2 linked regions of the Callithrix jacchus genome follow. The protein of the gene in region 2 interacts with the protein of the main gene of each other region in a biochemical or structural test. Links are inferred from orthologs where the notes say so. Each region holds a gene or a part of one and is shown on either strand. Other genes may lie near its edges.

The links.
Region 1: the proteins of FKBP4 (region 2) and GLMN form a complex in vitro, tested with the Homo sapiens proteins (2 studies listed by BioGRID). The link is inferred for Callithrix jacchus from reciprocal best matches to the Homo sapiens genes FKBP4 and GLMN.

The regions. Positions count from the first base shown.
Region 1 is NC_133508.1:130,015,029-130,018,839, forward strand, and holds part of GLMN (glomulin), read right to left. Parts: intron 2,351-3,811; coding exon 2,242-2,350; intron 1,226-2,241; coding exon 988-1,225; intron 1-987.
Region 2 is NC_133510.1:16,109,065-16,113,593, reverse strand, and holds the start of FKBP4 (peptidyl-prolyl cis-trans isomerase FKBP4), read right to left. Parts: upstream 3,026-4,529; 5' UTR 2,882-3,025; coding exon 2,777-2,881; intron 2,109-2,776; exon of another isoform or gene 1,097-2,108; intron 927-1,096; coding exon 782-926; intron 344-781; coding exon 201-343; intron 1-200. UniProt on the Homo sapiens protein: Immunophilin protein with PPIase and co-chaperone activities. Component of steroid receptors heterocomplexes through interaction with heat-shock protein 90 (HSP90).

The sequences.
Region 1 (3,811 bases), on a different chromosome or scaffold from region 2:
GGACACATGAAAAAAGTAGTAAGAATGGGAGAGATTATTTTAATAATTTATCTTAACCCAATGTATCTGAAATACTGTCATTTCAACATATTATCAATATAAAAATTATTGAGGTTTTTTTTTGTTTTTTTAAATAACAAGTCTCCAAAATCCAGGGGACATTTTATACTTAAAGTACATCTGAATTTGGACCAGCCGTATGTCAAGTGCTACAGCCATATCAAACAGTACATGTTTAGTCTATAGTACCCATGGAGGAAATGCTGTTGGGTGGATATGTTATTACTATTTTTGTGGTCAAGTTGGATGTTCTGTCTGGTGGTCCTTCTGCTGCTTTCTTTGAAAGTGTACAAAACACCTTCTCCACAGAGCTACATATATGTATTTCCCACACTTACCCTAAGCTATATGTATCTATTTCCTTTGCTTTCATTATTCACTTACTATAATGAATAAAGGCAATACATAGAAGAATATCAAGTAAATGAATGGATTTTGGTTTTATAACTATTGTATTAATTAATTAATGTTTTAGAGACAGGATCTTACTCTGCTGCTCAGGCTGGAGTGCAGTGGCACGATCATCATTCATTGCAGCCTCATCTCCTGGACTCAACCCATCCTCTAGCCTCAGCTTCCCAAGTAGTAGGACTACAGGCATATGCCGCTACATCTAGCTAATTTAGAGATGGGGGTTTCACTATGCTGCCAAGGCTGGTCTCAAATTCCTGGTCCCAAGCAATCCTCTCACCTCAGTCTCCCATATTGATGGAATTACATGTGTGAGCCACTATACCTGGCCTATACTTTTTTTAAATATAAATGTCTCAAGTTACCATGCTGTATCAGTTGAACCCCATATGCTTCTAAAATTCAAAATCTGAAACTAGATTTCTATTTATATGTCAAACAAGGTGAAGAAACATAAAACAACTGAACTATCAATTATTTAAGTCCATTATGAGATGTTCTTAAAAATATACTTACAATTTCAGTAATTCATCCTTTAACTTTTCATTTTCCAGTGAGTTTTCTTTGTTATCAATGACTTCTTCCACAAAAGGCTTAATAAACTCTATTAAGGCCTTGCAACACTGACAAAGGCCATAGTCATCCATTTGTATTTGTTCTTTTGAGTATGGAACAGGAAGAAGAGATAGCTGATTCCAAAGGGTAGACAATGCTAATCCAATTGAATATGCTTTGTTATGAAGTTTCTGAATCACTAAAACAGAGATCAAGTTGTCACTCTTCAAGTATGCTAAACATGAGACAAGAAATTCAGCAAATGTGGAATTATAAGACACTTCCTCCTCCCACGTTTGAACAAGTCTTGAAATCAAGATGGCACATCACAGTTTAACTGGCAGTGTTTTTTCTTCTCCGTTGTGCATAAAATAATAGAGCACCTTGCCATGAAATGTTTAGGTTATAACAGACTATTTACTTAAGACAGAAACATGTTCTTACCATGTTTTTTGGTTGCTGTAAACACAAGATATGAGTGTACTGTAAACTACAGAGCACTACACAAATAGGAGGTGGTGTTATTCAATTTTTTTTTTTCTAGTAGACTGAATATTACAGGTGGTATGAAGCTGGTAGGCATTCATATTTAAAGCAAATTTAATTTCTGATTCACAATCTGATAGGTCCCTCTAACAGATTGTGAGATTCACATATTTCCTGAAAAATAACCTCTTCCCATGGATACTCTCTGTCTTGGTTGCCAAGACCTATTACTTACCAATATTATTACTATACTCAGCCATGGAGTCTTCTCCTACATCTTCTAATTTCATTCTTCAGCATTACCTTTGCTATGTCCAATCCAACCTCCCAATGCAGAGGCTGAGCAATGCCCTGCCTGATACTCTTCTGGACTACCATAATGCTATCAGATTTAGTACTGTAGACACCACAGAGGTATCCTTTAAATATGTTTAAAGGGAAAATTCTAGATTTAAGCAGCAGATAGGAAGGTTAGGCAAAAAGGTGTAGGTTTCAATGTAGCACACAAAAAATACAATGACATTCAACAGAGTATTTATAGGGTACTCACTCCGGCCAGATACTGTAATTTTTCTATGAGCAGCAGGATTCACATTGGCCTTGCTAATGTGAATTAGCAAGAGTACTAATTAGCTGTAAACTTTACTTTGGTGTAGTATTGATATTTTCGTGTAACCATCAAGGCACTTAGAGATACAAGAAGTACTCTGATATCAAAATTCTCATTACCTGTCTGTAATGGCTGAAGCAAAAGAAGAATACTTTGGGATATCTGCTTTCCAGAGGGCTCTTCAATCAGTTCAAGCAAACCCAACAATAATTCCTTTGGACTGCATAACTATAAAAATATTCACAATTGAACCTGTTTAATACAAGTTGTATTTAAAGCCACATTATTACTATTTTTAAGAAGGCACATATTGGCAAAATGTTATACAATTATTTTTTTGCTTAACAGTAAAATTATTTATACAATTGTTTAAAAATATGCACTAGCAAAACACAGAATCTATGATGGTCAAAACTATAAAAGTAAAAAGAAATAAGAAGTCAACGGATCTTTAAGCTCCTGTTTCCTTTGAGCTTCACCTGTCTACTCTGGAAGTTGCCTTAATAGAGTCCCAGGGACTCCACCAGGTGGTACCTTTCAATCCCATGCTGTAAGTCCTTTGAGCTTCACCTGTCTACTCTGGAAGTTGCCTTAATAGAGTCCCAGGGACTCCACCACGTGGTACCTTTCAATCCCATGCTGTAAGTCCTTTGAGCTTCACCTATCTACTCTGGAGGTTGCCTTAATAGATTCCCAGGGACTCCACCAGGTGGTACCTTTCAAACCCATGCTGTAAGTCCTTGGAGTTTCACCTGTCTACTCTGGAGGTTGCCTTAATTGATTCCCAGGGACTCCACCAGGTGGTACCTTTCAATCCCATGCTGTAAGTCCTTTGAGTTTCACCTGTATACTCTGGAAGTTGCCTTAATAGATTCCCAGGGACTCCACCAGGCGGGACCTCCCAAACCCATGCTGTAAGCACAGACTAGTCCAGAATCTCTTTTGTATTTCTTGAACAGGTAAAACTCTGCATTGCTTTCTAACTGGCCATATCTTAACATCTCATTTACCTGGTTTTTTAAAAGCTCCCAGCTCCCGCAGTCAATAATTCATACAGATGGAGCTCTTTCCAAATATATATTTGGGTATATTTGCACTGATCACTAAGCAGTTTCTTATAATATCCTTTTTCTCAGAATTAATCTTTCTTAGCCATCGATATTGACTTTAAACTCTACTAGACTTTTACCAAGGGTCTCTAAGGTTGTTAGTCACAACTGCTCTGTGTACTACCCCCTATTCCTACTTCCATTTTAATCATTTGCATTTTAGGCTTTCCATTTTCTTTTAGGGAACATACCACAAAGGCAAGAGGACTGAGATTTTATTCTAGATCCAATGTTGCCGAAAGATAAATGTAGCCTTGAACTACCTCTAAACCTTGTGTTCCACATCTATACAATAAGGCTACTTGTTAAAATACAGCTTCCCAGGTCTCTCCCTGGAGATGCTGAATCAATGGGTCTGATATGAGGTTAATATGAGGTTAGACAATTTTTATATCCAGAAAATTTGGGAAATCTTGAAATGGAATTGCCTATCCAATCAATAAGACAGAGTCTTTTCTCCAATGAGTTCCTTTCTGCATGTACTTCCATAAACCAAAAGCTTTTTACCAAACAATAAACATTAAAGGGAATTATACAACATTGCTGTGTGTTATGACAAAGAGAACCTGGTTTTGTTAAC
Region 2 (4,529 bases):
TCCAACCCAAAGCTTCCATTACTTCTATTACTAGCAGCAGCAGAGCCAACTGCCCTGTTCATTTCTACTCCTCCCATAAGGCCAGGCCCTCAGCCTTGGCTACATTGTCTCCAAGAAGCAGGAAGGGCTGGAGAGCAGCCAGGCATTGGGCTGAGATAAGGCCTGGCTTTTAGCCTGGATCTCAGTGGCTGGACACTCACCTCAAACACAAGCGTGGCATTGGGGGGGATCTTTGGAGGACTGCCTGCTGAACCGTAGGCATATTCTGGTTTGCAGGTGATGTGGCACACCTCCCCAACTTTCATGGTTGCTATGGCAATGTCCCAAGCCTTGATGACCTCCCCTGCAGATATAGAGGCAAACAGGATCACCTTAGCAGGGTTCTGATTCTGGGCTCACACAGTGCTCCTGGAGAGTTACTGAACCACACTCACGGGGAAGCTGGACATCCTTTAGAAATGGGACCAGAAGGTGAGATACCTGGTTGCATTAAGTGTTACCAGGTCTCAGAACTCTTAAAAGATCACCTGACCCTGAAAAAAAGAGTTTTAAGATGCAAGACAGTCCACCTTTGAAGCTGGAGTAAGGTGCTGGGAGGTGATGAGAAGAGAAGACATAGATCAATATAGTTACAGATCGGTAGAAGGAAAAGAGTGACAGAAAGAGTAACAGAGTGTGATAAACCACTCCTCCCTGAGCCTGGTCCTGAGAAAATGGTTTCTGCTTGTGACAGTTTGTGTCCACCTCAAACCTATCCTGCCAGCCCACTGACCACGCCTACCTTTTCCCAGGTCAAAGGAGAATTTGTCCTTGCGATCCAGACTGGAGTCAAACTTTGTGCCATCTAACAGCCAGCCAGTGTAGTGGACAAAGACTCGGTCCCCAATCATGGGCATCTCTGTACCTGTGCCCTCTCTCTTGATGACCTGGGAGGAAGGGGGAGAAAGTGAGTACCCCAGGGGTGGGGGCGGAAAGGGGCACCAACACTGTCTGCAAGCCTCCAGGAACATAAATGAAGCTCTCTGTGTCCATCCTCCTCTGCCTACTTGTCCCTCCAGATTCGGTTACTAGCAGCTTAGCCTAGGAGTCAACTAACCTTGTCTTTCTTGAGGTGCAGCAAGACTTGGTTTGAAAAAGAGACAAAAGACTGAGAGATCTGAGTTCAAGTTTCTGGTGTATGGATAAGTTCTTAAAACTCTCCACACCTTATTTGTAAAGCAGTGATGATGATCCCTATCTCCTACAGCTGTTGGAAGATTAGACCAGTAAAGGGCTGAATAATAGATTATTATTATCATCGGCAAATGGGGAAGTATTTATGCCATACTTCCTCCTCCTTCCTTCATGCCAGTGGTCATCAGATCAGGGTCTGGTTTGGAGACAGGAGAAAGAGAGGAGTATAAGTGAAGAGAAAAGAAACAGTTCAAAACAGGTAAGGAAGAAACCAGGTTATAGGTGAACCCGGAGGCTCTCCCTGGGGCCTTGAACTCTGACTTCGGAGCTGAGTATTCCTGATTAAGTCCAGGCTGGAGTATTTCCCAGCAACTACAGGCTTCTTTAGCGCCACCTGGTAGGTGTGTGGTTACCCTCTAAGGGAAAGCTTCCATGAAGAACGGAAAGGGGCCTTGAGGAGTAGAAAGGTAAAAGGGAAGGAATGGCGGATCAAAGGGGGAAATGATCCTTCCTAGAATAACAATCTCATAGAAAACAGCAGGACGCTGGAGCGAGAAGGGGAAGCCACATGCCACAGGACAGTCGCTGGATCAGGCACTCGAGGTCCCCAGTTATCTGGTGCCAAGCCAGATGCACTTCTGGACCAGGTAAAGGCCCCCTGAGACGGGTGCCGCACACGCGGAGCTCAACGGTGGGAAGCCAGGATGAGGAGGAGCAGCGGATAGGGAGAGGGCATAAGATGCGAGCTGCGAGTTCACCATCTCCGGACTCTCCCCAGAACCTGCTCCGACCCATGGCAGGTTGTCCTGGCCCAGGTCAAGATGCCCTCCACCCAGCTCCCCAGGCTATTTGTAGTCGAGCGGTCACTCGGCCGCGGGCTCCACAGCAGAGCGCCTCCTCCCCACCCCACACCCCGCAGACGGGCTCCGGGAGGCGGCGCGGGGGGGGGGGAACTACAGCTCCCGGCATTCCCCGCGCTCGGCCTCCCCGGGGGGGCGAGGGAGGGGGCGCGGAGAGTTGGGGACCTCGCAGGGTCCCGGTGTCGGCAGGGGACACCAGGAGGGCGCCAGAACCCTGTCGCGCTTGCGTCACACAAAGGCCTCCAGGCCAGGAAAGCACTGTGGGGAGTCGCTCCCCGTCCTGGCCTATGTTCCACAGCCGGGGTGGGCCAGCCCTGGCACCGCCACCTACAAGGCAGCCCGGGGGATAGGGGGCGGCGCGGCGTGGGAGCAGCCCGGCCTGGCCCCTGGCTGCAGCTGGAGCGCCCGCGGCGGCCGCCCCGCCCCTCTCCGCCGCCCTGCGCGCGCCGAGGTGGGCGCTGCAATCCCGACCCCCTGCCGGGCCCGGGCGCCGCGGGATAGGGAGCCTGGGGCCTCGGCCGGCTCACCTAGGCCGCCCCCTGCCGAGCGCGTGGCCACCCTCAGTGCCCCAAACGACGCATCACGGTCCGGGACGGCGATGCCACCGGCCCCCGGCGAAACCGCCACAAGGTTGCAGAGGCGGCCGCCTCGACCCGCGCCCGGCCGCGGGCTCCCGGCTTGGCGGAAGGGTGGCCCGCCGGGCCCGGGGTTCGGTCGCCCCCGCAGACCCCGCCTTCCCTCACCTTCAGCACGCCTTCGTCCTGTTTGGGGCTTATGTCCACTCCCTCCACCGGCAGCGGCGCGGACTGCGCCCCGTTCTCGGTCGCCTTCATCTCCTCGGCTGTCATCTCCGGGCGGCGAGCCGTTTCTCCGGGAGCTGGCGCCGGCGCGAGCGCACTCTGGGTAGCCGGTGGGGGTACTACCTGCGGAGCGTGCGGGAGGCCAGGCGCCACGGCGCTAACTGCGGACCGCTCAGAGACTGGAGCACCTCTGCTCGCGGCGCGGGAGCGGGGGTAGGTGGGTCAGGAGCGGCTCGGGGAGCGATTGGTCCCGCCCCGCCGCGAGGGAGGGGCTGGGAGGAGCCGGAGAGCGGACAGAGCGGGCGGGGTGCAGAACTTTCTAGAGACTGCGGGGCTGATCCCGTTCGGGCTCGGGCTGCGGGCGCTTCGGATTTTTTTTTTTCTCCTTGTTCTTGCCTCCTGCTGGTTGCCGGCACCCCTTCCCCTCTCCTGGGACCCTCGGACTCGGGATCTCCCCTGGCCTTTCCTCCCTCCCACCCCCGGCCGCTTCCCTGTCTAACCGGATTCTTCCAGATTCTTCTCGATCGATCTCCTGACTTTACTCCACTAGTCCGCTGCGCCCGCGGCGGGGTGTGGGAAGCGCGGGCAGCCAGATGGCAGCGGCGGCACGCCCTCCCCGGGAGCAGCTTTCACCATGGGCGGCGTGGCCTTCCCGTTATGACCCGCGTAGACCCTTGCCTACCTGGGGGAAAAAGGGCAAGGGCGTGTGGGCGGGGAAGTGAGTGGACAGCGCTGCCCCGCTGCGCAGAGCCAGGGAAAGCAACCTCAATTTCCCCAAAGTCGGAAAGCCCCAGCTGGGCAGCAGTGCCTCCTCCCGCGCCTGCAGATGCTGCAAGGAACGGGGTGGCAGGGCATGGCCGTCCAGCTTGGGACTCACACGGGGCACGCACTCAGGGGACCCTTCCTCGCGGTAATGAAACTGCCGTTTCCGCGAATGCTTACAAGGATGGGTTCCCCTCCCGAAAAAAGTCACTCGGTTTTCCTAAAGGCCCACAGACGGAGTATTTTCAATGTTTGTTTCCTGAGTGTTTCTTGACAGCCTGTGGAGCGCGCAGCTACCGGTGTCACCAAAGCCATGGTCGTGGGACCTAGAGAGCCATCTAGAGAGGAGCCTGGTTTTGCTCAGCACCTAACCCCAGCTTAGTGTAGTATCTGGTGAGTGGTGCCCAGTTGTAACTGGTTGCATGAAGTTTCCTTTTTTATTTCTTTTTCCAAGTCTTGGCTGATTTTTTCTTTTCTTTTTTCTTTTCTTTTTTTTTTTTTTTTTTTTGAGACAGAGTCTCACTCTGTCACCAGGCGCCAGGCTGGAGCGCAGTGGCGCGATCTCGGCTCACTGCAACCTCCACCTCCCGGGTTCAAGCATTTCTCCTGCCTCAGCCTCCCGAGTAGCTGGGACTACGGGCGCGCGCCACCACGCCGGCTAATTTTTGTATTTTTAGTAGAGACGGGCTTTCGCCATGTTGCCCAGGCTGGTCTCAAACTCCTGGTCTCAAATGATCCGCCCTCCTCGGCCTCCCAAAGTGCTGGGATTACAGGCGTGAGCCACTGCACCCAGCGTGAATTTTTATTCCTATAATAATTATATTTTTGGACATCCGTTTATGTGCCCGGCACTTCGCTGTTGGGACGCCGTCAGGCTCATCAAACTAAATTAGGATCGCTTTTTAGAGATGAACTTTTCAGCGTCATAACGCGA